2 linked regions of the Cricetulus griseus genome follow. The protein of the gene in region 2 binds, or shares a complex with, the protein of the main gene of each other region. Links are inferred from orthologs where the notes say so. Each region holds a gene or a part of one and is shown on either strand. Other genes may lie near its edges. The genes, in order: Nudc and Dnajb1.

What was found.
Region 1: the proteins of Dnajb1 (region 2) and Nudc are in contact, whole or in part, in a crystal structure (PDB 7NDX), measured with the Homo sapiens proteins. The link is inferred for Cricetulus griseus from reciprocal best matches to the Homo sapiens genes DNAJB1 and NUDC. Residues at the interface, in NP_006136.1 of Homo sapiens: His166, Lys181, Lys182, Met183, Lys184, Ile185, Ser186, Asp201, Lys202, Ile203, Ile235, Phe237; in NP_006591.1 of Homo sapiens: Pro102, Gln103, Ile104, Lys105, Glu106, Leu107, Ala112, Leu115, Gln116, Ile119.

Annotation. Positions count from the first base shown.
Region 1 is NC_048595.1:19,718,140-19,733,254, forward strand, and holds the start of Nudc (nuclear migration protein nudC), read left to right. Parts: upstream 1-6,371; 5' UTR 6,372-6,474; coding exon 6,475-6,555; intron 6,556-7,544; exon of another isoform or gene 7,545-7,654; intron 7,655-9,805; coding exon 9,806-9,883; intron 9,884-15,115. UniProt on the Homo sapiens protein: Plays a role in neurogenesis and neuronal migration. Necessary for correct formation of mitotic spindles and chromosome separation during mitosis. Necessary for cytokinesis and cell proliferation.
Region 2 is NC_048596.1:160,782,557-160,797,350, reverse strand, and holds Dnajb1 (dnaJ homolog subfamily B member 1), read left to right. Parts: upstream 1-8,235; 5' UTR 8,236-8,338; coding exon 8,339-8,549; intron 8,550-10,028; coding exon 10,029-10,609; intron 10,610-10,785; coding exon 10,786-11,016; 3' UTR 11,017-12,101; downstream 12,102-14,794. UniProt on the Homo sapiens protein: Interacts with HSP70 and can stimulate its ATPase activity. Stimulates the association between HSC70 and HIP. Negatively regulates heat shock-induced HSF1 transcriptional activity during the attenuation and recovery phase period of the heat shock response.

The sequences.
Region 1 (15,115 bases), on a different chromosome or scaffold from region 2:
CAAAAAGTCATAAAGCTTGGATCCACTTCTCATAGGTAAAAAAAAGGACTCCAGATAAGTACAACTTTTTTAATCCCATCTATTTGTTCCTGAGGATGGGATTTTCTCCCTTGTCTTGGAACTCCTGTCCTTCTTGATCACTAAAAATATGGGCCTAGAGTTCCAATGAGATATATAAGTTTTAACTTCTGTTCCCAGTTTAAACATGTCTCAACAGGTTTCCACTTCTGGCAGACGAATATCAGTTGCTGACTACAGCCTGCTCCTAAAGACTGCAAGCCCTAGACTTGCTGTGGATGTGGACCAGTCCAGCTGATATGGACACCCTTTGTCTCTGCAAAAGAGTCTGCCAACCAGAAGCTCCTGATGGATTCCCCATTGCCTAAATTCCCTTTTTTTTTGCTTTTGACTAGCATTTCAGCTTTCTTGGGTCCCTAACTTTGTCCCAAAGTCAGCAGGAAGTAGTATAGAAAAAAATACGCCACCCATTTTCCCTGGTTAAAATGCTAAGTCAAAAAAAAACTCCCTTACATGAGGAAATGCCAATATCTCTCACTCCCTGATGGGGACTCGAGATGACAGCCGGGGTCGGCACTGGAACCGCAGCACTGGTCCAGGGACCCCACCACTATAATGAGCTAAAAACAGCCATAGATAAAGATATTAAAGCCATAAAAGGATCCGTCACTAAATTAGAGAAGTCTTTGGCTTCTCTAGCAGAAGTTGCCCTCCAGAATCTTAGGGGACTTGATCTCCTTTTCCTTAAGGAAGGCGGGCTCTAAGCTGCCCTAAAAGAGGAGTGCTGTTTCTATGTTAGCCATTCTGGAGTTATTGGGGATTCCATGGCCAAGCTCAGAGAAAGACTCAACCAGCGGTAAAAGGAACGGGAGTCCCTACAAGGCTGGTTAAAAGGATGGTTTAACAGCTCCCCTTGGCTCACTACCCTAATCTCCCCCTAGTTCTTAATCAACAATATCAGGCTCTCAGGCAATAAGAAGGACCATAAGTTTTAGAATTAAAACCTCACCAAAAAAAAAAAAATGGGGGAATGAAAGATTTTAGTTTGCTGAGAGAAAAAGTTTTGAAAGATTTTAGTTCACAGAGAGAAAGTTCCCACAGGCCTCGGCCCATTACAAGGCAGTTGGCCCCAACCCCGGCACATCCTATGGTTTAGACGGGGGCAATCGCCAAGACAACCCTCTTTGGGTCACACCTGACTGGCCAACAGACAATCAAGGACTTTTCAGGGTACGTTCTGTGGTTTTTCCTTTGTAGAAAAGCAGGTCACACCTGGGTGACCACTCTAACATGAGATCATTCTTTGTAATCAATCACTTTGTGCCCCTTGCCTGTATGCTGATCTGCGGTTTTTTCCTATATAAATAAGGAGCTTGCATCCCATGCTGGGGTGCGCAGCTTTCCCGATATTGCTGACACCCGAATGCGCATTCGTTCAATAAACCCTCTTGCTTTTGCAGCTCTTGGTCTGGTTTCTGAGTCTCGGGGGCTCCTCGGGATCCTGAGGCCCTTAGGGGTCTGGGGTCTTTCACTATCACACCTGCGTGCTGGCTGCTGCTGCTGCTTTTAAATTTAATTTATTGCATATGATGACTGCTGGCAAAATAAAAAATAAAATCAATATTTTTGTGTGTATGAACTGGAGTTAGTTTTACCTTCCACTTTATGTGGGTTCCAGAGATTGAACTCAGGCTTGTCCAGGGGAACTGCCTTGATCTGCTGATCCATCTCGCTTAATCATTTTTAAAATGCTTTTTTTTTAATTTGGGGCTATAGAGATGGCACAAAGATTAAGATCACTGACTGTTCTTCCAGAGGTCCTGAGTTCAATTCCCAGAAACCACATGGTGGCTTACAACCATCTGTAATGAGATCTGCTGCCCTCTTCTGTCCTGCAGGAATACATGCAGGAAGAGCACTGTATACATAACAAATAAATCTTAAAAAAAAAAAAGAAAAAAAAAAAGCTGGGCAGTGGTGGCACATACCTTTAATTCCAGCACTCAGGAGGCAGAGGCAGTTGGATCTCTGGGCGTTCAAGGCTAGCCTGGTCTACAGAGCTTGTTCCAGGACAGCTGGGACTGTTATACAGAGAAACCCTGTCTTGAAAAAAAAAAAAAAAAGTCTGAACAAGCCAGTAAGCAGCTCCCCTCCATGGCCTCTGTGTCAGCTCCTGCCTCCAGGTTCCTGTCCTGACTTCCTTTGATGATGAACAGCAATCTGGAAGTGTAAGTCAAATAAACACTTTACTGCCCAACTTGCTTTTGGTCATGGGGTTTCATCATAGCAATAGGAACCCTAAATAAGGCACATTGTATGTCCTAGAACTCTGTAGATCAAGAGGGCCTTGAACTCATAGAATCCACTCACCTCTGTCTCCTAAGTGTTGAGATTAAAGGCACGTGCCACTGTGTCTGATTAAAAAATTATGGTGCTGTGCATATGGATATCAGAGGATAACTTCTGGAAGTTAATTCTCTTCTTGCACTGTGCGGATGCTGGGGGTTGAACTCACATCATTAGGCTTGGCCACAAGTGCCTTTACTTGCTGAGCCACCTCACACTAGCCCAGTGTGTGCATTTATATGGGTTTGAATTCATGGACTCCCATCCAGTAGCTGATATAGTGATACTGTCATTATTTATACTCATGAGCAGATGATCATGCTGTCACCAATTTGGCAACTAGAAGCCTGGTTACCGTGCCTGTGCCGTGGTGTCCATGTCCTCTTGATCTGCCATGTTGTCCTGTGAATATACCTTTGTTTTCTGCTATAAAAGACACAAGTCTTCAAGTTCCTCCAATCAGCCAGTATTCCAGTCTGACTCTGGCATGGGAGTGTAGTTATGGAGGGAGCTTGCCTACCATATACAAGGCCCTGGCTTCTGTAACATGAATAATTTAAGACCCAGAGACAGATATTGGGGTTCAAGCTTCAAGCTGGAGACCAGAGAAGCAAAGGTACCAGCCATTAGCTATTACCTGTCTCCATGACTCTCCAGAGACAATGCTATCTCCATGAATCCTCAGAGGCAAAAGCTCTGTGTTCCTGTGTCCTCCTGCCTTATATTCCTTTCTCTGCCCAGCCAGATCACTCCTGTCTCCACCTCTCTAGTTATGGGATCAAAGGAGTGATCTCTGTTACTCTTCACTCTTGTGTAAGTCAGGGTGGCCTTGAACTCAGAGAGATCTATCTGCCTGTCTCCTGAGTCCTGGGATTAAAAGGTGTGTGTCACCATCATTGCCTGATCTCTATGACTTGTGACTAGCTTTGCTTTCTGAACCCTTCAGGCAATCCTTAATACATCATAAACAATATATCATCACAGGCTTCTATGCTCAACCAGAGTAAGGGGGGGTTAGAAAGAATAATGCAGAAAGAACAAAACCCAGAACAATCCTATATTGGATGGGAATTGATCATGTGATGTGATGTGTGTGTGTGTGTGTGTGTGTGTGTGTGTGTGTGTGTGTGTTGTGTAGAAAATGAATGTAGAGGAGATGGTTCATCAGTCAGTGCACTCCATATTTTTTTTAAAGATTTATTTTGTATACAGTCTTCTGCCTGCATGTCAGCCTGCAGGCCAGAAGAGGGCACCAGATCTCATTACAGATGGGATCCACACCCCCATGTGGATGCTGGGAATTGAACTCAGGACCTCTGGAAGAGCAGCCAGTGCTCTTAACCTCTGAGCCATCTCTCCAGCCCCTTCAATACTCTTGTAGAGCACCAAGGTTCAGTTCTCAGTACCCACATGGCAGCTCACAACCAAACATCAATAACTCCAGTTCCAGGGGATCCAACAGCGCCAGACACTGCATACACATGGTGCACAGACATCCATGCAGGCAACACACACACACACACACACACACACACACACACACAGACACACACACACAATCTACAGCTGGGTGGTGGTGGCACACACCTTTAATCTCAGCACTTGGGAGGCAGAGGCAGGAGGATCTCTGTGAGTTCGAGACCAGCCTGGTCTACAGAGTGAATTGCAGGACAGCTAGTGCTGTTACACACAGAAAGTCTGTCCTGAAAAACCAAAAAAAAAAAAAAAAAAAAAAAAAAAAAAAAATCTAAAAAATTTAAAAACGAAATAAAAATTATTTCTAAGCCTCACAGAAACTGCTTCGACAGTGCTTCCCCTTGTCTGTGGGGCTCAAAGTAGATGTGATATACCTGGTGCACTCAGGCACTACCTGAGTAGTTCTTTGGAAGAAGGAGTTGAGAAGGTGGAGCCTCTGCCAGGCTGGAAGCTAAGTGTATGGAGAGATCACTAGGAACCTGTACCTCTGACCACGCCCATTTGGTTGTGGTCACAAGAATGTACAAGGAGTGAGGAATAAAGAAAGGGCTGAGAGAGAGGTCACAAGCTGTCTCTTGGGTTTGGTTTGGGTCGCAGAGAGCAACTGAGCTTGATCCTCGGAGCTGGAACTTGGGGTTTATCAGTTTCTCCCAGAATAAAATTAACCTTTATTTTACATCCACACTATGGGGAGCTGTATTTCCTGTGCCGTGGATATGATCTTAAGGCCAGATGTCATTTCTCGAATCCCTAGAGGGGGGAGAAAAGGCTGTGGCTAGGATTGCTATAGTCCAGGGCCTGTCTGGAGCCACTTGCTCAGAAAAGTCCAGGGCTTCTGTCTTAGGGTTTCTATTGCTGTGATGAAATACCGTGACCAAAAGCAAAAATGGGAGGAAAAGGCTTATTTGGCTTACACTTCCATATCTAAGGAAGTAAGGACACGAACTCTCAAGTAGGGCAGGAACCTGGAGGCAGGAGCTAATGTAGAGGCCATGGAGGGACGCTGCTTACTGGTTTGCTCCTCATGGCTTGCTCAACCTACTTTCTATAGAACTCAGGACTACCTGGCCAGGATGGTGTCATTCTTAACGGGCTAGGCCCTCCCCCATCAATCACTAATTAAGAAAATGTCCTACAGGTTTACCTCTGTGGGCTCTTTTTGTTTTGTTTTGTTTTGTTTTGTTGTTTTTGAGACAGGGTTTCTCTTGTACTGGTGTGTGCCACCAACGCCCGTCTGGAATTCTTAACTTTTCTGTTCTTTGGCTTTGGAGTCTGTCCTGGAACTAGCTGTTGTAGACCAGGCTGCTCTTGAACTCACAAAGATCCACCTGCCTCTGCCTCCCTGAGTGCTGGGATTAAAGGCGTGCACCACCAACGCCTGGCCCCCTCTGTGGGCTCTTAAGGAGGCATTTTCTCAATCGAGGCTCCCTCCTATCTGAGGATTCTAGCTTGTGTCAAGTTCACATAAAACTAACCAGTACATCTTCTAACTGGCAGATGACACAGGCCAGCCTTCAGAGACCTGAGTCTGACAGGGGAGATGAGTCCTGCTCTTTGGGAGTGTTTAGCTGAGGTTCAACCCCTCTGAGTCCCTATTCCATGGAGAGAGATACAGCCAGGCTCTCAGTAAATGTTTGGTAATAATCTTCCAACAGTATAGCACTTCCAGGTTTACAAAGTAAAAAATAAATGCACACTCGAGGGTGGGGGGGGGGCTCTTAAGGGGATACACATGGGCTATCTCAGTGCTTGGAGATGAAGACAGGTGGACCAGTACAAGGCCGTCCTTGCCTTCAGTACGCCATCCCTGTCACAGCAAAACAAATCAAGCCATCACCATCACTCCAACCACCAAAACAAAGAACAGAAAAGTTAAGAATTCCAGACAGGGGCGTTGGTGGCTCACACCTTTAATTCCAGCACTTGGGAGGTAGAGGCAGGTGGATCTCTGTGAGTTCGAGGCCAGCCCGCTCTCCAGAGTGAGGGCCAGGATAGGCTCCAAAGCTACACAGAGAAACCCTGTCTCGAAAAAAAACAAAAAAAACAAAAACAACAAAAAAAAAAGTTCCAGACGGCAGGGGAAGAGCATTAATCCAAGTGCAAACAGTTTCTAAGCCTGGGCTTTATGCAAACTACAGTTTTGTGCACTCTTCCAAAAGCCTGGTCCTGGATGACGGAGTCAGTTGTCCCTTTCGGGAGCGCTTTCTTGCTGGGTCTCAACTGTCGCTCGCAGCTGAAGGTACTGCTTAATCAAAACTTCTCCTAACTTCCAGCCCTATCAAGATGCGAGCTCAGAGCTTTCTAGAAGGCTCCTCCCGGGTATCTGGTGACCATAGCAACTCAAGCCAAACTCTGCGGCCGCAAGTCCCGCCCACCGCTTTGGGGTCGCGACTGTTGATTTGCTCCTCCCGTTAGCCAATGACCGGTGAAGCGGGCTGCGTTCCGGGAGCGCAATGGCCACCGATGGGCTGGGAGGCGGGAAGAGAGCAGGGAAGGGCGGACCCGGGAGGCCGGGGCCGTGCGTGTTTCCGGCTCCGCTGCGGAAGGCCGGCCAGGGGGACCGTTGGGCCCGACGCGAACCGTGCGGAGCGCGGGCATCGCCGAGCGCGAGTGCAGAGCTCGCAGTGCAGCGCGATGGGCGGGGAGCAGGAGGAGGAGCGCTTCGACGGCATGCTGCTGGCCATGGCGCAGCAGCACGAGGGCGGCGTGCAGGAGGTAAGCGGCGTGGCCCGCGCCCCAGCCCTTCTCCGCCCTGGATCGCCCAGACCTCCCCCACCCCGGCCGCGCGGGTCCCCGAGGCCCCGCGGGCTGCCCTCGCGCCCCAGCTTCCGGTCCGCCCACCCCGCGAGCCGCCAGCGCCCCGCAGCCGGCCCCCGAGGGCAATTTCGTGGTCCCAGAGTGACCCCAGAGCTTCGGCATCCACTCTGCGCCCCACGCGGGCTTCTGCTGGCCTTGTAATGGTTGCGACTCTCCCGGACGTGATTTCCATCTTAGCCACAAGCGCAGGCAGCCTCCCTGTCTGTCACCTATCGCTCATTGCACGCAGGGGAGTGAGAACCGCGTGAGGTCAGCACGTGGCCCCCTTAAGCTTGAATCGGGGAAGTGAACCGCAGACCTCTCCGTTCCCTTCTGCTGGGTTAAGCGCCCCGCACCACCTAGCCTCAGTTGTCTAGTCTGTGAGGTGAAATTTAGAAATGCCACATCTTGGGTTTTGCTTTTGTTTTTTGACTCAGGGTCTTTGCTGTGTACCCCTGGTTTGCCCAGAACTTGTTATATAGACCAAGGTGGATTTAGGGTCGTCCTCCCGCCTTTGCCTTCCGAGTGCTGAGATTCAGGTGTGTGCCTAGTTTTCTTGAGTTTAGGAAAGTCTTTCAAAGGGAAAGACCAAGTTCATAATAATAAGGTTTGTTCATCAGGTGTTTGTCATTATCTTGGTACCTGACATAGAAGACTGGTCCTGAGGATGCAGACACAGCCGGAGACCAGGCATTGCCTTCATGAAGTTACTGATATATAAAGAGAACTTCTTGCATGCATATATATTATTTTGGAGCCAGGTGTGCCTTTAATACCAGCACTCGGGAGGCAGAGGCAGGAGGATCTCTGTGAGCTCGAGGCCAGTCTGGTCTACAAAGCTATACAGAGAAACCCTGTCTCAAAAAAATCAAAAAGCAACTTTGGGAGGAAAGGTTTATTTCACTTACTGTTCCATATAATGGTTCATCATCAAAAGCAGTGAGGACAGGAACCCAGGACAGGAGCTGATGCAGAGGCTATGGAGGATGCTGCTTGCTTCCTGTGTTGGCCCTCGTGGCTTACTCAGCCTGCTTTTTTATAGAATTTAGAACCACCAGCTCAGGGGGTGGCACCGCCCACAATGGCTGGGCCCTCCCACATCAGTCAGTAATTAAGAAAATGCAGGCTTGCCTATAGTTTTATTTATTTATTTATTTATTTATTGTTTTTCGAGACAGGGTTTCTCTGTATTGCTTTGGAGCCTGTCCTGGAACTCTGTGAACCAGGTCGGCTTTGAACTCACAGAGATCTGCCTGCCTCTGCCTCCTGAGTCCTAGGATTAAAGTCGAGGGCCACCAATGCCCAGCAGCCTATATCTAATCTTATGCAGGCATTTTGTCAACAGAGGCTTTCTCCTCATGTGACTTTAGCTGTGTCAGGTCACTACAATTCCAAGTCATTTTATCTAGGTGGTTATGTTGTTCAAGGACTTCTGAATCTCTTGAAGGGGCAGAATGTGTCAAATCTGCAAATGTCCTAAACTGACATAATATGGATCTGGGAGTGAGTTCACTTTCTGTTTTAATACATTTAAAGTGCCTAGAAGTAGGGATTGCACACAATGGGCTAAATTCTCCTGTCAAATTTAGAACCATAGATGAACCTTGAAGACATTTATGAATTAAGTCATATAAGAAAGGACAAACACCTTTAATCCCAGCACTCAGGAAGCAGAGGCAGGCAGATCTCTGAGTTCGAGGCCAGCCTGGTCTCCAGAGAGAGTGCCAGGATAGGCTCCAAAGCTACACAGAGAAACCCTGTCTTGAAAAACCCCCCAAAAAAAAGAAAGAAAGAAAGAAAGAAAGAAAGAAAGGACAAACACTGCCGTCAGTGGTGGCGCATGGTTTTAGTCCCAGCACTCAGGAGGCAGAGGCAGGAGGATCTCTGAGTTTGAGGCCAGCCTGATCTACAGAGTGAATTACAGGACAGCCAGAGCTACACAGAGAAATCCTGGCTCAAAACAACTACCAAAGGCTGAAAATGTAAGTGGAAAGTCTGATAACAGAACCTTCCGAACATTACAGCTTAGCAATATAGTGCAATGTAGGGTATTGGTGGTTTGCTTTTGTGGTGTAGTATCGGACTGGGAGCTGACTCTGGCTGCCTAGGGTTGCAGGACACCATCTGTACACATAGTCCAAGAAAGACCAAATAGATTCTATTTCTACTTGGTGCATGCTGCTGTTGTACCAAGATGAAGTCTAAGCCCTAAGGTACCTACCATCATCAGCTGGTGACCCTCTGTACTCTGAGCCATGGCTCCTGAGTCTTATGTACGAAGAGTCTGCCATTCTCTAGCCCATCTCCCTTTCTGTGCCAGACACTCACTGCCAAGGGTTTACTGTGTAGAGAAAGAGTCCTAGCATTCATTGTGCTCAGCTTCTCGAGGATACCATATGACCATCTGCCCCAAGTTTCTCTTCAGCTCTTCTGTCTGTGATGGACCAAATCCTGGACTATAAACCAAAATAGACCCTTTCTCCCTACAGTGACTTTCTGTGGTGTTCCGATGTCCCATGTCCCCCGCTTCCCCATTTCTCTGTGTTATAGCCCCAGCTATCCTGGATGGCCTCGAACTCCGTAAGATCTGCCTGCCTCTGCTTCCCAGGTGCTGACAGCAAAGATTCATGTTACTGTCACCCTGCTTTTCTCAGGTTTCCATTTTTTAAAAAATACTTATTTTTGTTTTATATATATTGGTGTTTTGCCTGCATGCATGTCTGTGTGAGGGTATCAGATCTTGGAGTTATAGACAGTTGTTAGCTGCCATGTGGGTGCTGGGAATTGAACTCAGGTCCTCTAGAAGAACAGCCAGTGCTCTTAACCACTGAGCCATCTCTCCAGCCCCCAGGTTTTCCATTTTTGCTTTTAGTAACAGCAACAGGAAAAAACTAAAACAACACTGGGAAATAAAAGTACTCTGCTCTTTTGAGACAGAGTCTCACCAGAGAGCTGAACCAGACCAGAAGTAAACCCATGATCCTCCTGCCTCAGCTTCCTGAATTTCGGGCTTCTCAGGAACTGAAGGGACTTGGTGGAGAGGCTGGCTGTTAGGTGGGAGCTTCAGAAGTAAAGATTCAAATTGAGATTCTCTCTTAAACTGAAACTTTGTCTGCAGCTGAGGCCCCACGCTGAGCCCCAGGCCTCAGTTTCCACCCCTGTCTTTCAGCTTGTGAACACCTTCTTCAGCTTCCTTCGACGCAAAACGGACTTTTTCGTTGGAGGAGAAGAGGGGATGGCAGAGAAGGTGAGTGCTGGGGACTCCTTTTCCTTGGGTGGATCTGTTGCTGGGAGACAAGCCTGGCCTGGCTCGTCTAAGCAGGAGCAGGACGCCAGCAGGATGGGGGCTTGGAAGGGGAATGAGCTGTCACCCAGGACCCACTCTTGGAATGGTCCTTTGTCCATGAACTTCCTGTGGCTCTTGAGTAGTTTCATGGGTGTCAGCCGTCCCCATTTGATGGGTGAGGAAGTTCACTCAGGGGTGTTTTACACTCTGCAGAGTCCTGAGCGGAACTGTAGAAACACCATGGAGACTGTCTGCTGTAGGTTTGCTTTCTGTCTCCGAATCACCCTCCACCCCACAGGGTTTTTGCCAATTACCTGGCTGGAGATGAGTAGACAGACATTACATTTGGAGGCCAGCCTGTGCTACACAGTGAATTCAGAACTGTGGTATGTGTCGCCATCACAAAAAAGAAAGCAAAAATTTAAAAAATCACGCAGCAGTCCAGGCCTGTCATTTCAGCACTTAGGAGATGGTGGCTCAGGGCCATCCTTGGCTGTATAGTCTACTGGGCTACATCATTAGACCCTTGTCAGACAACTCTACTCCCCCTTTCCGCCAGGATACAACGAGCTCCTACCTGGGACTCACTTGAACAGCTTCCATCAGAAAGACAAGAAAAGCTGTGTGTGATGGTGCTACACAGGGTTACTGTGGAGGCTGAGGCAGGAGGGTGGCTTAAGTCTGCAAGTTCGAGACCAGCTGGTACACTTGAAAAGTGACAAAGACGTGCAGAAGTTGGGATCACTGGGCACAGCCAGAGGGGATGTCAGGTGGCTCATCTACTATGGCAAAGAGCCTGGAGTCACCTGGAGAATAAAAATAGAATCACCGTGCCCAGCAGTTCCATTTCTGGGCACGATAGGGAAGATTCGGTTGCACATGCCTCCATTTCTGGTGACAAACATTATTCAGAATAAGCAGGAGGTGGGCGGGGCTGGAAGAGAAGGCTGTGTGGGAGGGCTGGCCGCAGCTGCTCCCAGCACCCGAATCAGGTAGCTCACAGTTGCATGTAGCCAGCTTCCTGGGATCTGACGCCCTCGCCCAGCCTTCTTGCCCACTTGGACTCGGTTGTGAACACCAGCTCAGAGATGCGGATGCGCATAAGTAGGGTTTTTTTTTTTTTTTTTTTTAAACTTGTTTTTGTTTTTCGAGATGAGGTTTCGCTCTGTAGACCAGGTTGGCCTCAAACTCAGATCCACCAGCCTTTGCTTCCCGAGTGCTGGGATTAAAGGCGTGCACCACCATGCCCAGCATGAGATCTTAAACTAAAAGCCCACTGGGGAGTGGCTTGTAAGATCCAGCCTCAGTTCTCGCTGAGTCTTCCTAGCAGTCTACCAGTCCTGAGCTATGAGATGGGATTCTAACAGACAGGTCTATCAAGTCTATCAAGATTCTTCCTATCAAGATCCATCCGCTTGGAAGTACCAAGGACTTAGGAGTTTTGTGCCGGGAACCTGGGACAAAGACTTGGTTTCTTTACTGTAGCTCACGTCCACCTTGCGGGTGCAGGGTTTCTTTTTCTTCCCTAGAACTACACTGTAGATAGACAGAAGTGGTTTCTCTCTGGCGCTGTCAGTTCTTGGTCATGCCTATACCTATGGACCTATCATTGTTCTACCTCTTTCCTTTATCTGGAGAAGCTTCCCATCACTCACTCTTTGCTTCTGTGCAGGAAGAGCCCATGTTTCTGCTTTCAGAATAATTACTAGTATGTTTTCAAGGTGACTCACGAGGTGGGTTTTTTCTCTACTCATTGCCGGGCGTGGCGGCGCACGCCTTTAATTTCAGCACTCGGGAGGCAGAGGCAGGCGCATCTCTGTGAGTTTGAGACTAGCCTGGTCTACAAGAGCTAGTTCCAGGACAGCCTCCAAAGCCACAGGGAAACCCTGTGTCGAAAAACCAAAAAAAAAAATCTCATGGGCTTGAGTAAACATGTTCCAGGGTTGTTACCAAGTCAATCAAGAGGGATATCTGTTACAGGACACAGGCTTGTTTTGCTTTTGATCCTAGCATGAGCCTCCCTATCAGGCCCCGTGTAAACTGCTGTCAACTTCCATCTTGGGAGTTTGTCAGGCTATTGTCACCTTCTTCCCTGATTCCCTCTACCTAGCTTACTTAGGTTAGCCTTCCCTGCTTCCTTTGTTTATAAATGTTTGAATAGATATACTTCCTAGTTAGCAGCTTAATGAAAGGTGTTTTGTACTGCCGGGTGGTTGTGGTGCATTCCTTTAATCCCAGCACTTGGGAGGCAGAGGCAGGCAGAGCTCTGTGTGTTCGAGACCAGCTGGTGTACAAGAGCGAGTTCTAGGACAGGCTCCAAAGCTACACAGGGAAACCCAGTCTCAAAAAAAAAAAAAAAGAGGTGTCTTGTAAAATTCCCCTGCGTTCAGAAAAATGGTTGAACTGCTACAAAGAGAGGTATCATCTGTCTCTGGAGGGCATGGGCATAGTCGTCATGATGCCACTCAAGTGAGGAGGTGCTGATGGCAGGGTGAGGTGCAGGTCAGGGGCCTTGTTCTTCACAAGACAGGGAATTTGACTTGGTAAGAAACAAAAGGTGCCCTGAAAGCCACCTCAATGGGGCAGGGCTAGCCCTGGACCAAACAAGGCTGTCCCAAGTAAAGGAAGCAACAATAGTAAATGAAGAGCTGTGGAAGTTACTAAAAGAAAAAGTTGCATGAACACACACACAAACGCACGCACGCACGCACGCTCGCTCGCTCGCTTTGCAGGCCAGATAGAAGGACCTGGGCAGAGGCTGAGCGCATAGGCTGCGTGCTAGGAAGTAGTGGGCCATTCTGTGTAAGGCTGGTACCAGGTGGGTCTTCATGGGTGACTATTTGCTCTGGCCTTGGTCACTTGGATGACAGTTATCACTCAAAATGAGGAGCTTCCTAGGAGAAAGTTGCTGGGGTACTGGTTTGTGGGGTGTGGGAGTGTAGCAAGCTTCCTTGTCTGACTATCTTTGGATTGGCAGCCTCCAAGTAAGGACACAGAGACTTAATATTAATTCTGAAAGCTTGGCCTTAGCTTAGGCTTTTCCTTAAGTAGCTCTTAAAACTAACTTAAATGAACCTGTCTGTATTAATCTACATTTGTCATGTGGCTCAGTCACTTCTGCTCTGTACCGTGTGTCCAACTTAAGAGTTTCCCTGGCATCTCCCTGCCTCTCCTTCCTAGAATTCTCTCCGCAGAATTGCTGCATATTCTCTCCTGCCTAGCTATTGGAAATTCAGCTCTTTATTAAACCAATCACAATGACACGTCTTCAGTGTACAAATATCCCACAACAGGTAAGGGTGGAGAGAAGCCATGTTGGTTCTGCCTGTTCCTTAGGTAAAGGCTGCTGGCTCTGTATCTCTCCCATCCCAACTCTAGGCATATCCTTGCTGAGAAATCTGGGGCCTGTGGGGCAACTTGAAAGTTGAGAAAGGGCAGGAGCCAGGTATGCGGCTCTAACACAATCTGGGAAAGGGAGACAGATGGTGGGGTAGGCAGGGCCAAAAGACAGAATCAACAGGACACTGTCTCCCTGAGCACCCTGACCAGATGATGCATCCCTCTGTGGTCCACTGCTACCCTGAGTAACCTGAGCATCCCTCTGTGGTCCACTGCTACCCTGAGCATCCCTCTGTGGTCCTTTGCTTGTCAAGTGTTACTAACCCTGAGAGTGATCAAGGTCAGGCTCTCGGCCTTTCTTTGGGTTAGGCATAAGTGGCTCTGCAGTGTGCCCTTCCAGACTAGGAACCATTCTTATCCCCATCAGTTCTGTTAAGAAAACACCTGTGTTCGCCGGGCGTTGGTGGCGCACGCCTTTAATCCCAGCACTTGGGAGGCAGAGGCAGGCGGATCTCTCTGAGTTCGAGACCAGCCTGGTCTACAAGAGCTAGTTCCAGGATAGGCTCCAAAGCCACAGAGAAACCCTACCTCAACCCCCCCCAAAAAAAAAAAAAAAAAAGAAAAAAGAAAAAACACCTGTGTTCAACCCACCAGGTCCAGAATACCTCACTCTGTCCCGCCTGCCAGCCTGTGGCTCCTAACCCTGTGTCAGTGGCTGAAGCTTGACTCGAGACCTCTACAACCTCTGCTGCATAGGCCACCTCTAGCCTATGGTGGGAGGGGACTGGCAAGAAGGGTCAGAGGCTGTTCTGGTTGGCTTTGACATTGCCTGGTGGCTCGTGTCTGTCCTCTTTTAACCTCCAGTGGCTAGGAAGTAATAGGACAAGTGGATTGTGACATGATTTATGGGGCTAGAAGAGGGAGGGCCCTGTTCCTGTCCCTCCTTGGCCAGTGATTGTCAAATGGCTTGAGTTCAAGGTCCCCCTGATTAGAAACTGGGGACAAGGCCCTTTGGTGGAACAGTCTCTTGCAGTTGCTTCATGACCTGTTTCTCTCCTCAGCAGCATGGCCTCTGAGTTCCTTGTTTCTTTCACTCCCATTATTACTCCTTTTTAAAGAAATAGTTTACTTATTTTATTTTATATGTATTGGTGTTTTGCCTGCATGTATGTCTGTATGTGGCAATCAGATTTCCTGGAACAGTTGTTACAGACAGCTATGAGCTGTAACGTGGGTGCTGGGAATTGAAATCTGGATCCTATAGAAGAGTAGCGAGTGCTCTTGACCACTGAGCCATCTCTCCAACCCCCGTCATTACTCTTAAGCTTGCTGGCACTGTGGTGTCTTCTTTGCTTGCAAAGTCTGAAGCTATCTCAGTGAGGCATGGGGCTGGGGATTGGAAGGGAGGGTCACAGATGAATGAGTCTGGGGACATTTGACAGAACCTTGGGTATAGGAGACTTCTGTGACTGCGCCTCCTTCCAGCTTAGGTGCAGACGTGCTTGGAATATGGTTCATTGAGCACTGATCACGGGGTGGTTGCCCTGGGGACTCCTTAGGTATGCACTTTGTATGAAGTGTGGGTGGCCACAGAGTTGCAGTAGGGTCTGTTCAGAGTCGGCTAGAGACATTTGAGCTGGTCCTGGAGACTGACCAGTAAGACAAAGAGCTCATTCTAGGTGAGAACAGCATTTGCCGAGGCTGTGTTTACAGAGAGACTGAGATGACTCAGGTCGTTCTTCAGACCTGTGGCAGGTGCTAGGTGGGGAGTCCTGGGTGGCAGGGAGGACATCTAGCAGGTCCTGGGGTTAAAGCATCATGGGATACTTGCTCAGTGGACATGAAAGAACTTGA
Region 2 (14,794 bases):
ATGTTTTGGCTGTATGCATGTCGGTGCACCATATATGTGCCTATTGGAGTCCATGAAATGTGGGTTACCGATGAATGTGAGCCACCATGTGGGTGCTTGGAATTGAATTTGGGTCCTCTGTTAAGACTAGCAAGTGCTCTTAACACTTAAACCATAACCCCCCAGGGAGCACCTGTCCCTGAAAAGTCTTCTATTCCTGTTCTAAACCTGAGTGTTCACTCACTGTCCAGACACTAGGTGGGGAGAGTTAATGCCATTTCCAGCTACAGTGGGAACTCCAGGCTTCTTGGGGGTTTGAGTGAGGACACCTGAGACCTGGTCCTGGTCAGTCTCAGCCAAGAGTTAAACACTGGAGTTGTTAGTGTATGGTGTCTGCAGCATAACCATGCAGAATTGTCTTCTCATGTGGGGGCTGAAAATTGAACCAGGATCCTGTTAGACTGAACCACCTCTCCCCCTAATCTCCATTGTTAACTTTTAATGTCTAAAAGTCATTTTGAATCCTCGAGTTCAGTTGGCAATTTTGGTTTTCTCCATTAAAGATCAATAAAGTCTTGTTCTCTTGGCAAGAAAAAAAAACAAAAACAAAAAACCATAAACCATCTTTCCAGGCCCCTGTACTTTAATTTGGAAAAAAAAAAAAAAAGGAAAAGAAAAAGAAAAAGAGGTGGACAGCTCCAGAGCACCTGAAGCTGACCTCTGGACTTCTATTCACAAGTATATGCTTACACACACACACTCAAAACACCAGCGTGTAATTCCAAATAGTCATGAGGCTGAAACAGGAGAGTCATAAGTTCAAGGCTAAACTGAGCTATGTACCTAGATCATAGGCCCCCCCAAAAAGAAAAAAGAACAATAACAAACAAACAAGTCAGGTGTTGGTGGTGTACTCCTTTAATCCCAGAACTCAGGAAGCAGAGGCAGGTGGATCCCTGTGAGTTAGAGGCCAGCCTGGTCTACAGAGCAAGTGCCAGGATAGGCTCCAAAGCTATACAGAGAAACTTTGTCTTGAAAAACAAATAAATAAAAAATAGAAACTAGTGATCCTCCTGCCTCTGCCTCCTTCAGCAAATCCTACCAGCGTGTGACACCACAACCTGGAAGCAACCTAGATGCCCTCAACTGAAGAATAGATGGAGAAAATGTGGTACATTTACACAATGGAGTACTACTCAGCAGAAAACAAACAAACAAAAAAAAAACAAAAAAAACGATGGAATCTTGAAATTCGCAGGCAAATGGATGGAACTAGAAGAAACCATCCTGAGTGAGGTAACCCAGTCATAAAAAGGCAAACAGGGTATGACTCACTTATATATGGATTTTAGATCTAGAACAAGAAGTAGCAACCTACAATCCGCACCTCCAGAGAAGCTAGGAAACAAGGAGGACCCTAAGAGAGATACACATGTCCCCCCTGAGAAGGGGGAAGAGATAAGATCTCCTAAGCTAACTGGGAGCATGGGGGGAGGGGAGAGGGAGTTATAAGAGAAGGGGAGAAGAGGAGGGGTGAGGAGGACATGAGGGAGCAGGACAATCTAGTCAGGAGAAGAATAGAGGAGAGGAAGAAAAGAGATACCATAATAGAGGGAGCCATTATAGGTATAAAGAGAATTCTGGCACTAGGGAAATGTCCAGAGACCTACAAGTTTAACCCCTACTAACAATCTAAGCAGTGGTTGAGAGGCTATCTTAAATGTCCTTCCCAGATAATGAGATTGATGACTACCTGATATGCCATCCTAGAGCCTTCATCCAGTAGCTGATGGAAGCAGAAGCAGACACCCACAGCTAAACACTGATCTGAACTCCTGGAATCCAGCTGCAGAGAGGGAGGAGTGATGAGCAAAAGGGTCAAGACCAGGCTGGAGAAACCCACAGAAATAGCTGACCTGAACAAGTGGTTGTTCATGGACCCCAGACTGATAGCTGGGAAAGCAGCATAGGACTGTTCCAGACTCCCTGAACGAGGAGGTAAGTTTAGAGGTCTGGACAATCTAAGGGGACAATGGTAGTGGATCAGTATTTACCCCTAGTACACAAATGGACTTTGGGAGCCCTCTCCACATAGAGGGATACTCTCTCAGCACAGACACATTGGGGAGGGTCTAGGCCCTGCTCCAAATGATTTGACAGACTTTGAAGATCCCCCATGGGAGGCCTCACCCTCCCTGGGGAGCACAAAGGGGTTGGGATAGGGGATAGGTGGGGGGCAGGGGAGGAGGTGAGGGAGAGGGAACTGAGACTGACATGTAAAAGAAGCTTGTTTCTAATTTAAATTAAAAAAAGAAAAAAAAAACAACAAAGAAAATCAGTGGTGGAGTCCTTCCAGTAAAAGGCTTTGGGTTTGATTTCTGGCCCCACAAGCTTGAGGCAGAGGGAATTAGCTCAATAGAAGCAGGGAGCACACAGAAACTAGACGGTTCTCTCGTCTTCTCCTCCTGTCTCAGATCTAGAAGGTTAAGAAGTCCTTAAAGGTAGTTCCGATGACAGGGAGCAGGGTAGGACCAAGGTGTGTCAGTACACGTGAGCCATCCAACAGGACTGCTGAGAATTAAACTGAGTCCTCTTTGAGGACAGTATGTGCTGCTAACCACCGAGCCATCTCTCCAGCTCCCAGTTTGGGCTCAAGGTAATCTTGAACTTAGGATCCTCCAGACTCAATCTCCTAAGTAGCTAGATTGGCAGGAGTGAAGCTCCGTGCCTGGCTTCCTGCTTTGGATAAGTGTAGCTGGTGCTGGGAATCCCTTGTCAGCCTCATCTGGCTTCCCATACACAGCCCATCAGGAAATGATAGATCCAGTCCTGCATGGAGAATGGTCACTTTGTTCAAGCCTCTCACTGTGAGACAGCTTTGTCAGGTCCTGTCTGGAGACAGAGCTTCCAACTGTGCCCTTGCACACCTAGCACAGAGGCTGATTCATTCCTAATGACGGTGGGCACACCCATGATCACGTGCTGACTGACAGCATGCAGCAGAGCAGCAGGAGCAGCTGAGACACACATCAGTGACTCCTCTACCCTGAGTTTTGGAGAACTCGGTGGCAAGAATCTGACTTCAATAGAACATACCTCACAGTAAGGTAGGTGGTGAACTTCCTGGGACTGCCCCACACTGTTTCAGAGTATGTGATCCTGGCACAGAACTGTCTAATGGAGGCTATGAAGCCAGGCTTAGACATGTTAGAGCTGGTTAGTCACTTTCTGCTGTGTCAAGAGCTCTGAGAGATTCCCTAGTCCCACCCATCCCACCCACCTGTAATTCCAAGTAGTCTTGAGACTGAAACAGTAAGATTATAAATTCAAATTCAAAGTCTGCTGAGGGAGAGAGAGGGAAAGACACACACACACACACACACACACACACACACACAGAGAGAGAGAGAGAGAGAGAGAGAGAGAGAGAGAGAGAGAGAGAGAGAGAGAGAGAGAAGCTGGTTGGTGTGGCACAAACCTTTAATCCCAGCACTCAGGAGGCACAGGCAGGTTGATCTCTGTGAGTTCAAAGTCAGCCTTCTATAGAGTGAGTTCCAGCACAGTTATGGCTACACAGAGAAACCCTGTCCGGAAACAAAACAAGACAAAAAAGAAATTGTTTTAATCTTTAAAAACAATGAGACAGTATCTTTCACCCTCAAGAATCCCCGTGTAGGGATTTTCGGCAGTTTCCCTGTCCCTAGCAACTGCTGATCTACTCACATACTTTTGTGTTTTCTGGAAGGTCATAGAAAATAGAAGCACACAGCCTTTTGAGCCTGGTTTCTTTCACTGACATAATGCATGTGAAGTGCACTGGTATTGTTTTCTGTATTCATGGCTCTTTTCTTTTTATGGCTGAATAATATTCCATTGTGTAGACAGATTACAACTTGTATAGCTACTCAACAACATTCAAGTTCTATTGGTAATTATTCATAAAGCCTCAGTAAAAATAAAACAGTTTGTTACATAAATTTAAGTTTATTTAACTTTTTAAAATTATACTTACTTGGACTGGAAAGATGGCTCAGCTGCTAAAGGCTAAGCTCACAACCAAAAACATAAGATTATACTTGATTTGTGTGCACGACGTGGGAGGGGTGCACATGCCACAGTTTGCAGCTGGATAAAAGAACAACTGCAGGGAGTCAGTTCTCTCCTTCTGCCATGCCAAGTGGGTCCCAAGGATCAAACTCAGATCCTCCAGGCTTGGTGGCGAGAGTCCTTACCTGCTGAGCTGTCCTGCCAGCCTTTGAACATAGCGTTTTTGTTGTTTCTTCCTTGATTTTTTTGTTATTGGTGTTGTAGAGATTCTCCTGCTTCAACCTCTTTAGTGCTGAAATCAAAGCTATGTGCCACCATGCCCAATTTGAACATAGCTTTCTATTGCACACAGACTCTCCCTAGGAATGGCAGTGGTGACTAATGGAACTGCTATGTTTTTGGACATATCTGACAGACAGGTAAGGAGTTGAAGAGAACAATAGTAAAATTCTTTTTCTTTTTGTCTTTTTTGTATTTGTTTTTCTACACAGGGTTTCCCTGTATAGCCCTAGCTGTCCTAGAATTGACTTTGTAGACCAGGCTCAAACTCACAGAGATCTCCTGAATGCTGGGATTAAAGGCATGTGTCATCACCATCCAGCAGTAGCAAAATTCTTTAAGGCTTCACCAACATTTAACACATCACACACCAGTGCCCCCAGTAAGAGCTCAATACAGCAAGCTCATCAATGCTTTACTCTCTGTGGCCTGGGCTAGCTCTTATAACTTAAATTAACCCATTTCTATTCATCTATGTGCTGCTCTGAGGCTCATTTACCTCATCTACATAATTCCCATTCTGCTCCTCTGAGTCTCTAGGCATCTCCTCCTGACTCCCGACATCTTTCCCTCTTCTTCCCGGCATTCTCTCTGCCCTGGAAATCCTGCCTCGTCAATGGCCAATCGGCTTTTTATGAACATCGAGGGCAACACATTTCCACAGCACATTTGACTCTGCCTTACCTGAGGCAGCTGAGCTAGTCCTCTGAGCACCACCCACATGGCAACAACATGAGGTAAAATCTACTATCTCCATTTTATACCGTATAGACCATCTCCCCAGGATGCAGGCCTTGACTTTAGACTGCCAGGTCCAGATGTACCTGCCTAGCTCCTGGCTGAGGAAGACAATGTAGGGTATGAGGCTGGTGTGGTAGGTACACCTTTAATCCCAGTACTCAGGAGACAGAGGCAGGCAGATCTTAGGAGTCCCAGGCCATCTAAGGCTATATAGCAAGAAGTGTCAAAATACAAAAATAAATAAATAAAAATATTTTGTGTGTAGGGGTCAGCAAGATGGCTCCACAGGTAAAGGTACATGCTGCCAAGCCTTAAAGTCTAAATTCAATCTCTAGGAGACACATAATGGAAATAACTGACTCCAGATGGTAGGTGGTGGTGCACGACTTTACCCAGCATTTGGGAAGAAGAGACAGGCAGATCTCTGTGAGTCTGAGGCCACCCTGGTCTACAGAGTGAATCCCAGGACAGCCAGAGCAGTTACACAGAGAAACCCTGTCTCAAAAAAAAAAAAAAAAAACTGACTCCCAGAAGCTGTTCTCTGACCTCCATCCACATAGGCACCATACCAAGTTCACACACAATAAATGTAAGAACGATTTTAACAATATTCACTGTTCACTCGGGAGGAGGGCAGGGTGTGTGTGTGTGTGTGTGTGTGTGTGTGTGTGTGTGTATGTGCACAAATTTACGTGAATATGTATATGAAGGTCAGAGGGCTTAAGGTGTCATTCCTCAGGAGCGGTCCACCTTGGTTTTGTTTGTTGTTTGTTTGTTTGGCAGGATTTCTCTGTGTGGCCCTGGCTGTCCTAGAACCTGCTCTGAAGAAGAGGCAGGCCTTGAACTCAGAGATCTTCCTGCCACCACCTCCCAGCTTAAAATCCATTATTTAGCCCTATGTCTTTTTTGTTTGTTTTTTGAGGCAAGGTCTCACTATATAGCTCTAGTTGTCCTGGAATTCACTATGTAAACAAGGCTGGCCTGGTACTCAGAGATGCAAATGCCTCTGCCTCCCAGTGCTGGGATTAAGGGCATGTGTTACCACCACTAGGTGGTGTTAGTTTTCCACACCTGTTGTTTTTTTTTGGGGGGGGGGTGTTTGTTTTTTGTTTTTTTTTTTTTTTTTTTTTTTTTGGTTTTTCAAGACAGGGTTTCTCTGTGTAGCTTTGGAGCCTATCCTGGCACTCACTCTGAAGACCAGGCTGGCCTCGAATTCACAGAGATCCACCTGCCTCTGCCTCCCAAGTGCTGGGATTAAAGGCATGTGCCACCAACGCCCAGCTCCACACCTGTTTTTAAACCACTGAAACTTCCTGGTAGCAAGGTGGCAGGTGCTTGTCAGCTCAACACTAAGATTGAGGCAGGAGAATCCCAAGTTCAAGGCCAGCCTGGGCTACAAGTCCAAGACAAGACCTTGCCTAAAAAAATAAAAAATAAAAAAGTCACAGTAGTAACTAAAACACACCTTCAAAACTATGCCCCATCATTACTTAGAGAGCAGGACATTTCCAGCCTTGAGGTTGTCCCCAAACACAAACATTTCCTGTGCAAAATACGGTGGACTAGAAACCTTAGTGAGACCCAGCCAAGCCCCTCTAGAGGCACACCTGAATGTCCCCACTGAAGAATTCCTCATGCTCTGCGCTTTCCGGTAGGGGCAGCTCTTCTGTTCTTTATGGAATTTCTGTTTCTATTCACCTATTTTGAGGCAAGCTCTCACTCTGTAAACCATGCGGGCCTTACACAGTACCCCTCCTGTCGCAGCTTCCTGGTGCTGGGATTACAGGAATGTTCCACTGTGCCAGCTCTCTTGTTATTTCTCTAGGTAACATTGAATATTTCCAAGTGACTGGTTCAGGACATCCTCTGTTGAGCTAAAGGATCCCCTAGTCCCAATTCCATTTTGGGGGCAGGGGCTCAACTGTGTTTAGACAGAGCCCTTTTCAGTTCTCTTGGGGTCAGTGTGGTCAGGAAAACCAGAACACACACATCCGGATAGACCACCAAGAGAAGGCTAAGGTCATCTTTCTCACAGGTCTCGGGCTGTCCAACGCAAGGTTCAGCAGAGGCTCAGACGCTGCAGGGCTGCCAGAGAGGAGGTGTCAGCGTCATCCACTAAACAAGACAATTAGTCATCCCTTTGTCCCTGGTTTTTCTTGAGCACTTTCACAGATGCTGAGTAACGTCAACTTCCTATATACAGCGGCCATTCCGATTTCATAAGTGAGCACGACTGAGGCCAGAACGGCTACTTTACCAATTCAAGGTCACACAGCCAGGAAGTACTAGGATCTGGAACGAAGCCTACTCTCTCTGGCTACAGAGTCAAGGCTCGTGCTCTGACTTCCAGGTAGTTTCTCTCCCTGCAGGAACCAAAACCGACTACCCCCGCTTCTCTAAGCCTGGCAGTTTCAGAAGCTCTCTCCCCTTTGCTCTCAGCTGTGTCCTTGACCGCCATCATCCAAGACTTAAAAACCCAAAGAGTCAATTAACAGAGGTGCTCTGTTCCCCCACAGCAAGAAGCGCCCACGTCAAAGCATTCGGAAATATTTACGAAGCACCTAGTGGGTCCTGAAAAAGATGCACAGCCACGAAGCAAAATCCAATGTCTGCCCTGGTGGTGAACTCAGACAGCAAAGTGAGTGACATCTACCCGGAACGCCAAGAACCCGGCTAATTCCTCAGCAGGAAGTAAGGAAGCCTGAGTACCCGGACTGGGGCGATCCCTCGCCAGACCAGCCTCACCTCGCTTTACAGTAACGGCCTGTACGGAGCAACCGGCAGGAGAGGGTGGGGTGCGGACTTTTATCCCTGGGTGACAGCAGAGGGAACTTGGAGGGACGGGTCGGGCAGCTACAAGTCACCGGGCAGGACCGCCCAGCCGGTCTTCACCTAGGGACAGGGTGCGGCTTCGGAAGAGACCCGCCTCTGTAGCCCCGCCCCCTCCCCACGTCGTCACCAGTCGGCAGTGAGAGCGGGCCGCGATTGGCTGTCTCCACTGCGGAGGCGGGACCTCAGGCAGGGGCGCGCGCGCCCCAGGGAGGCGTTGACCAGGGTAGAGCGGGAAGGGGCGTGGCCTCGCGCGGAAGGCCGTTGGCTGCCGGGTCCCACCCCGGATGTTCTGCGTCACGGAGCGGCCGGCAGCGATTGGCCCGAGTGGCGCGGCGCGCCGGGAGGGGCGGAAGGTTCTGGAGGGCTGGCGGGATCTGGAAGCTTCCGCCGGACGGGTATATAGAGTCCGGGACAGGGCAGCTGCGGAGCCGGAGGCGGCGACAGCTGGGCGGCGGTGGCCATGGGCAAGGACTATTACCAGACGCTGGGCTTGGCCCGCGGCGCGTCCGACGACGAGATCAAGCGAGCCTACCGCCGCCAGGCGCTGCGCTACCACCCCGACAAGAACAAGGAGCCCGGCGCCGAGGAGAAGTTCAAGGAGATCGCCGAGGCCTACGACGTGCTCAGCGACCCGCGCAAGCGCGAGATTTTCGACCGCTACGGAGAAGAAGGTACGCGTGCGCGCGGCCGGGGGTGACCCGCCGTTTGACAGGCAGGGAAACCGAGGCACTCGGGGCCTCTCTGAGGCCTCGGCCCCGCATCGACGGCCCGGGGATCCGGCGGCGGTGCCGCCTCCGCCCTCTGATCGGCGGCCTCAGCCGGGAGGAGGAGCTTTGGGCGCGCCCGCCGCTCACACAGAAGCTTCTAGCACGTCTGCCGCAGCCCCTCCCGGCCGGCGGGCCGGCCGCCTGCACAGCGCCCGAACGCTGCAGACGGAGGGCGGCGGTCGCGATCGCTAGGGTGTGAGATTTTGAAAATCGCCCGAGTGTTTGTTCCTCTGGGCCCGCTAACCCGCAGGCTCAGCGCTTAACCCAGAGTTGAGCTGAGCCTTTCTGGCCGCAGTGCGTAGGAACTTCTCTGTAAGGTGTTACAGCATGGCAGAGAGGATGGGGCTGTCAAGTAGACCTGGTGGCGCCGACAGCTGCAGGCCTTACTACCGAATTGTCACGAAGTGAAAGGGAGTAATGTGTTTCCTGCTCCTGCTGCCATTGGCAGTTAAAGACTTGAGATTCACCTAGAACAAACTTAAAAATACATATAACCCCTCCCACTACGGTTCCCAGGGCTTTTTTTATTAAAAGCAAAACTTGTTGAGCCAGGTGCGGGAGCTCACACACCCCACTTTGGAGGCTGAAGCATTGTTGTGAATTTGCTTCAAATCTGAGCTACAGAATGAGCTCCTGTTTCCAAAAGAGCAGGATGTAGTGACAATCCCAGGTCTGGTATGTCTGAGTCAGGAGGATTGCCTCTAGGCTAACCTGGACTATTCAGCAAGTTCAAGGGCTATATAACATGACAGTCACCGGATCGCACTGTGTAGTTCAGGCTTTTATTTTTACTTCTATATATATGGGTACGTGTATGTATGTATGTTCACTGTGTACTTGCTTCGAGAGAAGAGGATGTTGAATCCCCTGGAATTGGAGTTAGTTGTCTGCTGTTGTGTGGGAGTTGATAATCGAACATGGTTCCTCTGCCATAGGAGCAAGTGCTCTTAACTTCTGAGCCGTCCCCAATGCCTCGTGTTGGAGTCCTGGCTGGTCTGGAACTTGCAGAGATCAACCTGCTCCTGTCTTCGGAGTGCTGGGTTTCCAAGCATTCGACACCATGTCTGGGCTTTCTATTTTAAGGATTTTATGGGTTTGTTGGTGGGATTTTTTTGTTTGTTTGTTTTGTTTTTTTCCCCCGAGACAGGGTTTCTCTGTAGCTTTGGAGCCTATCCTGGCACTCGATCTGGAGACCAGGCTGACCTCGAACTCACAGAAATCCACCTGCCTCTGCCTCCCGAGTGCTGGGATTAAAGGCATACACCACCCAACGCCAGGCTTGATTTTGTTTTGTAAATGTGTTAATTTATTGCAGTGCTAGAAATGGAAACCAAGGGCCTTGACTCTCCTACAGTAACTCTGATTTCTGATTTTGTTTTCCAGGCCTAAAGGGTGGTGGCCCCAGTGGCGGTAGCAGTGGCGGTGCTAATGGTACCTCCTTCAGCTACACATTCCATGGAGACCCTCATGCCATGTTTGCTGAGTTCTTTGGTGGCAGAAACCCCTTTGATACCTTTTTTGGGCAGCGCAACGGGGAAGAAGGCATGGACATCGATGACCCATTCTCGGGCTTTCCAATGGGTATGGGTGGCTTCACCAATGTGAACTTTGGACGTGCCCGCCCTGCCCAAGAGCCTGCCCGAAAGAAGCAAGATCCCCCAGTCACCCACGATCTCCGGGTCTCCCTTGAAGAGATCTACAGCGGCTGTACCAAGAAAATGAAAATCTCCCACAAGCGGCTGAACCCCGATGGAAAGAGCATTCGAAATGAAGATAAGATCCTGACCATTGAAGTGAAGAGGGGCTGGAAAGAAGGGACCAAAATCACCTTTCCCAAGGAAGGGGACCAGACTTCCAACAACATTCCAGCTGACATCGTCTTTGTTTTAAAGGACAAGCCACACAATATCTTCAAGAGAGATGGTTCTGATGTCATCTATCCAGCCAGGATTAGCCTTCGGGAGGTAAGGCACTAGGTGGGAGAATCATGAAAGGAGATGACTGCTCTGAGGAGCAGTGGGGGAGACTGGCTGGAGCTCAGCTGCATGGGTCTGGTGGACCTGAACCTTCTCTCTGGATGTTGGAGGAGTCAAGCTTCCTAAGCCAGCTTCCATCTAACATAGTCCTTTTGCTTTCCTAGGCTCTCTGTGGTTGCACTGTAAATGTCCCCACTCTGGACGGCAGGACCATCCCTGTTGTATTCAAAGATGTCATCAGGCCCGGCATGCGGCGGAAAGTTCCTGGAGAAGGCCTCCCTCTCCCCAAGACACCTGAGAAACGTGGGGACCTTGTTATCGAATTTGAAGTCATCTTCCCCGAAAGGATTCCCCTGACATCCAGAACCGTCCTGGAGCAGGTTCTTCCCATATAGCCACCTGCATTCTCCAAGGACTGAGCCAGGGACTTTTCCAGAGCTGCAGATTTCCGGACCGTTCACTGGTTGCATACTGCGGGAGGGCCCAGGGAGGGCTTTTGCTCTGCCGAATGTTTTCCACAGAATATATTACAATCTTTCAAAGTCGCTCACTAGACTACAGTGATTTTTTGAGTGATAGGCAGGCGGTGGGAACAACAGCCCTCCTGGAATGGACCCACCCTCTGCATCCCAGCTCCTGCCCAAGGGTGTGAGGCAGGCCTGCAACTGGACTCGCCCCCATTGCTGTCCTTTAGTTTCTGGCTCTCATGTGGCAGTGACCACCATCTCAGTTGCCAGACCTTGTGCACTAGTCAGTCTCCACTGTGTGAGAGGTTCTTGTTTTATTCTGTATTTGTCCCATGCCTTGTTGTTCCTCCCCAGAAGAATCCTGTCTTGTCTTGGCCATCTCAAATTGAGACTAGTTCAATAGGACTGCCAGGCCAGCATCACAAGCAATACCTGGTTACAGGACCACATGGCCAGCCTCAGGTGAGCAAGTCTCACTGCCACCTCCCTCCGGGTTTGGGACCTGGACAGCCAGGAGAGTCCCTGAACCTCTGCTCTGTTGAAATCAGGTAGTTGACTTATGGTCACAGTATTTGTTGGTCCAAAGGTAGTCCTTGGCCGTAGCTGGGACTTCTCAGAGGCCTGGGTGATTTTTTTTTTTTTGTGTAATAGACTCTGAACTCTCTCAAAAGGATATAATCCTTTTGAATTTTGCACAGCCCTAGATATAATCCCTTTATATAAAAGGGTCTTTGCTTCTGATGAAAGGAGCCCTGTGAAACGTCTGTAAATATGTTTTTATAATTCCATTCAAAGCTGGTGTGCGCCCAGATGAAAGCAGTCCCTGTCAACTACTACTGTCTGTCCAGGGCTGTGATGGAGTCAGCCCTTGGGAGTGAAGGGGTCTGTTCTTTGAAGCTAGCCCGGTGCTCTGGCATTCGACTCATTGTAAGTTGCCACTACCAACACGAGACCAAAGTGTGTGACTTGTCATTCTGCAGTGTGACAGCATTAAAGACTGATGGCAAACCTCAGGGGAGCAGTCCTTCGACTCTGTTTGAGGGCTTTGCTGGGGAGGGGCGGCATGGTGAGAGTCCTCGTCCTCCAAAGAAAGCTGTTTCCCTCCCGGGAAATTGGGTAGGGGCCTGCTCTGAGCACATTTTCTGTCTCGAAAGGCCTCTGGCCACATGTGGGCACTTAGTAACCAGCAGGGCTAAGGATTAAAGCTCCACCTGCCCAAATCCCAACTAGGCCTGGCTAAACCAGGCCTAGGATGCTAGACTAACTGCTTGGAGCTGGCCCAGGGTCTGTTCTGTGGGAAGTGAGGAAAAAACCCACTCCTGTCCCAACCTTATTTATGTGGGTATCCTAGGACCTTAAATTACTTTAAAGAGCTAGGTTGATTATAAAGCAAGTAGGACATAGGCTTAAAGGAGTGTGTTGGGTTTCTTGCTGTATTTTAGTGGTGCTGGTAACAGAACCCAGGTTTTTGTCCTCTTAAGCTGACTGCAGCCACAGGCCATGCTGCAGACTGCTCAAAAGTAAACCTTGTTTTTAAAAAAATTATAGCATTGCATAGAAAGTTCATTTAAGAGCCAGGTGTAGTAGCACACTTCTGTAAAGTCAGCTCTGAGGGTTACAAAGACTTGGAAATGTGACTAAGCCACAATAGAATATGGGTCCAGCCCATGCAAATCCACCTTCTGCAGGATGTCCCTGTGAACTTGGTAGGGAAGTATGTGCACGGACATACTGTTTTAGAAACCCACAAACAGCATGGCCAACAACCTGGGGAGTGGGAGATTTGGGGGGGGGGGAACATACTGTTATTAGGGCCCAGGGCACATGTATTAGCAGTATGAAGCACTGGTATATATGAGTGAGGCCCTGGGTTATAGCCCCACACCTCAAACCCCTTAACATGGCCTGAGAAGGGAACAGGGCCTGCCCTGAGCCTGGGGTTCCCTTCCTATTACACGAGGGCACCAAAGAAATTGTTTTTTGTGTGTTCAAGAAAGTGCCTGTGAGGGTTAGTTAACAGCACTTGCTTTTGTATAGGACCCTGGTTCAGTTTCAGCACCCACATATAACTAGTTCCATGGGATCTGATACCCTCTTCTGGTTTCAGGCATCAAACATGCACATGATAAACATACTCCATGCAGGCAAAGCACTTTTACATATCAATAAATCTAAGGCCTCACAAGTCTGTGCCTGTGCTTTGTACATTTTCAGTTTCCTTTCTTGGCTGCCATTAGCACACTATGAAACTGGACAGGACTCACAGAGTGAAACTCATCCCCCCACTGTCAGGTGTTCTGTTTTCTCGGGGCCTCTGAGATGCTGCACAGAATGCCTATCTCTGAAGCATTGCTTTCCCCCTTCCTATGGCATAGCAGGGCAAGAGCTGCTTCATTCCCAATACTTCCATCTCTGTCTCATTAGCTCTAACTGGGATGGGGGAGTTGTAAAGACCCAGTTAATGGACGACTTTTGCCTCCAGCTTGAATTTTTGCTTCCAGGTCTGCATTCCAGGATAGTGGGAAATTACCAATACGGAGTCAGGTAGAAATATAAGGGTATTTAATAGGGAAAAGCCTTACTTACAGAGCGACCTAGCCAGCTGGTGGGTCAGCAGCCTGTACAGCAAGTACCAAAGAGCAACCGAAACCGCAAAAGCAGTCACACTACGTCACTCTGACCACGCCCTCACAAGCCTGGTCAGGCACACCTGTAGCCAGCCCCTAAGAAGGCGTGGCTACAGCTTCCCCTACAATTCCCCTTTTAGTCTAAAAGAGGATTAAAACTTAACAGTATAAAGTATCCAAAATTAACAATCATAAAGGTAAAATATAAGAAGATACAACAATCTGCTTATGTCACCTCCTAACTATGTTAACTAAACCCTACAGTCATCTGAGAGAGGTGTCCAAGCCTGAACACCTCCTTCTCCAGCTTGATCTTTTTCAAGCAGTATGATGTTGGGCAAGGAAACCAACCTCATTATGCCAGTGTTTGAACTGTGAAATGGGTATAATAATAGGACTTTTTTTTCTGAGCATGATGTCTTATAGTAAGCAAGGTCAAAGCCAGCCTATGACTGGTTTTTAGACCCTGTCTCAAAAAAACTAAAAAGTCAGCCTGGAAAGTTAAGGTGTCTCAGTGGTCAAAAGCCATAAGTTTGTAGAAAGCCCAAGTTTGGTTTCCAGCACTCAGGTCAGGTGCCTTGCAGGGGATCTATGGCCCTCTCTGGCCTCTGGGGGCAACTGTGTTAGCATGTGCAAACCCATACAGACATATACAGAACACACTAATAATTTAAAAAGTAAAAAGGGGCTAGGTATAGTGATGCACACCTTTGATCCCAGTACTTGGCAGAGCCAGGTGGATCTCTGAGTATGAAACCAGCAACCTACAGAGTGAGTTCCTTAGTGAGCTACATAGTGAGACACCTGGCCCCCGGGGGTGGGGATGGAGGAGAAAGGTTGAGTGTGTAGCTTAGCAATTGAGTGCTTGCCCAGCATGCACAAGGACCTGAGTTCCATTCCCTGTACTGCAAAAGTATAAAGACATGCAACTACCTCTCTTCTAGGTATGTAAGGGTTTCCAGATACGTAAATGGTACACACACCAGGCACATACTGACACAGAACAGTATTGTATGTCAGCTCCACCCATAACACCTTCCCAATGACAGACAAGTCTGTCCTGGATTAGTACCGTTGCC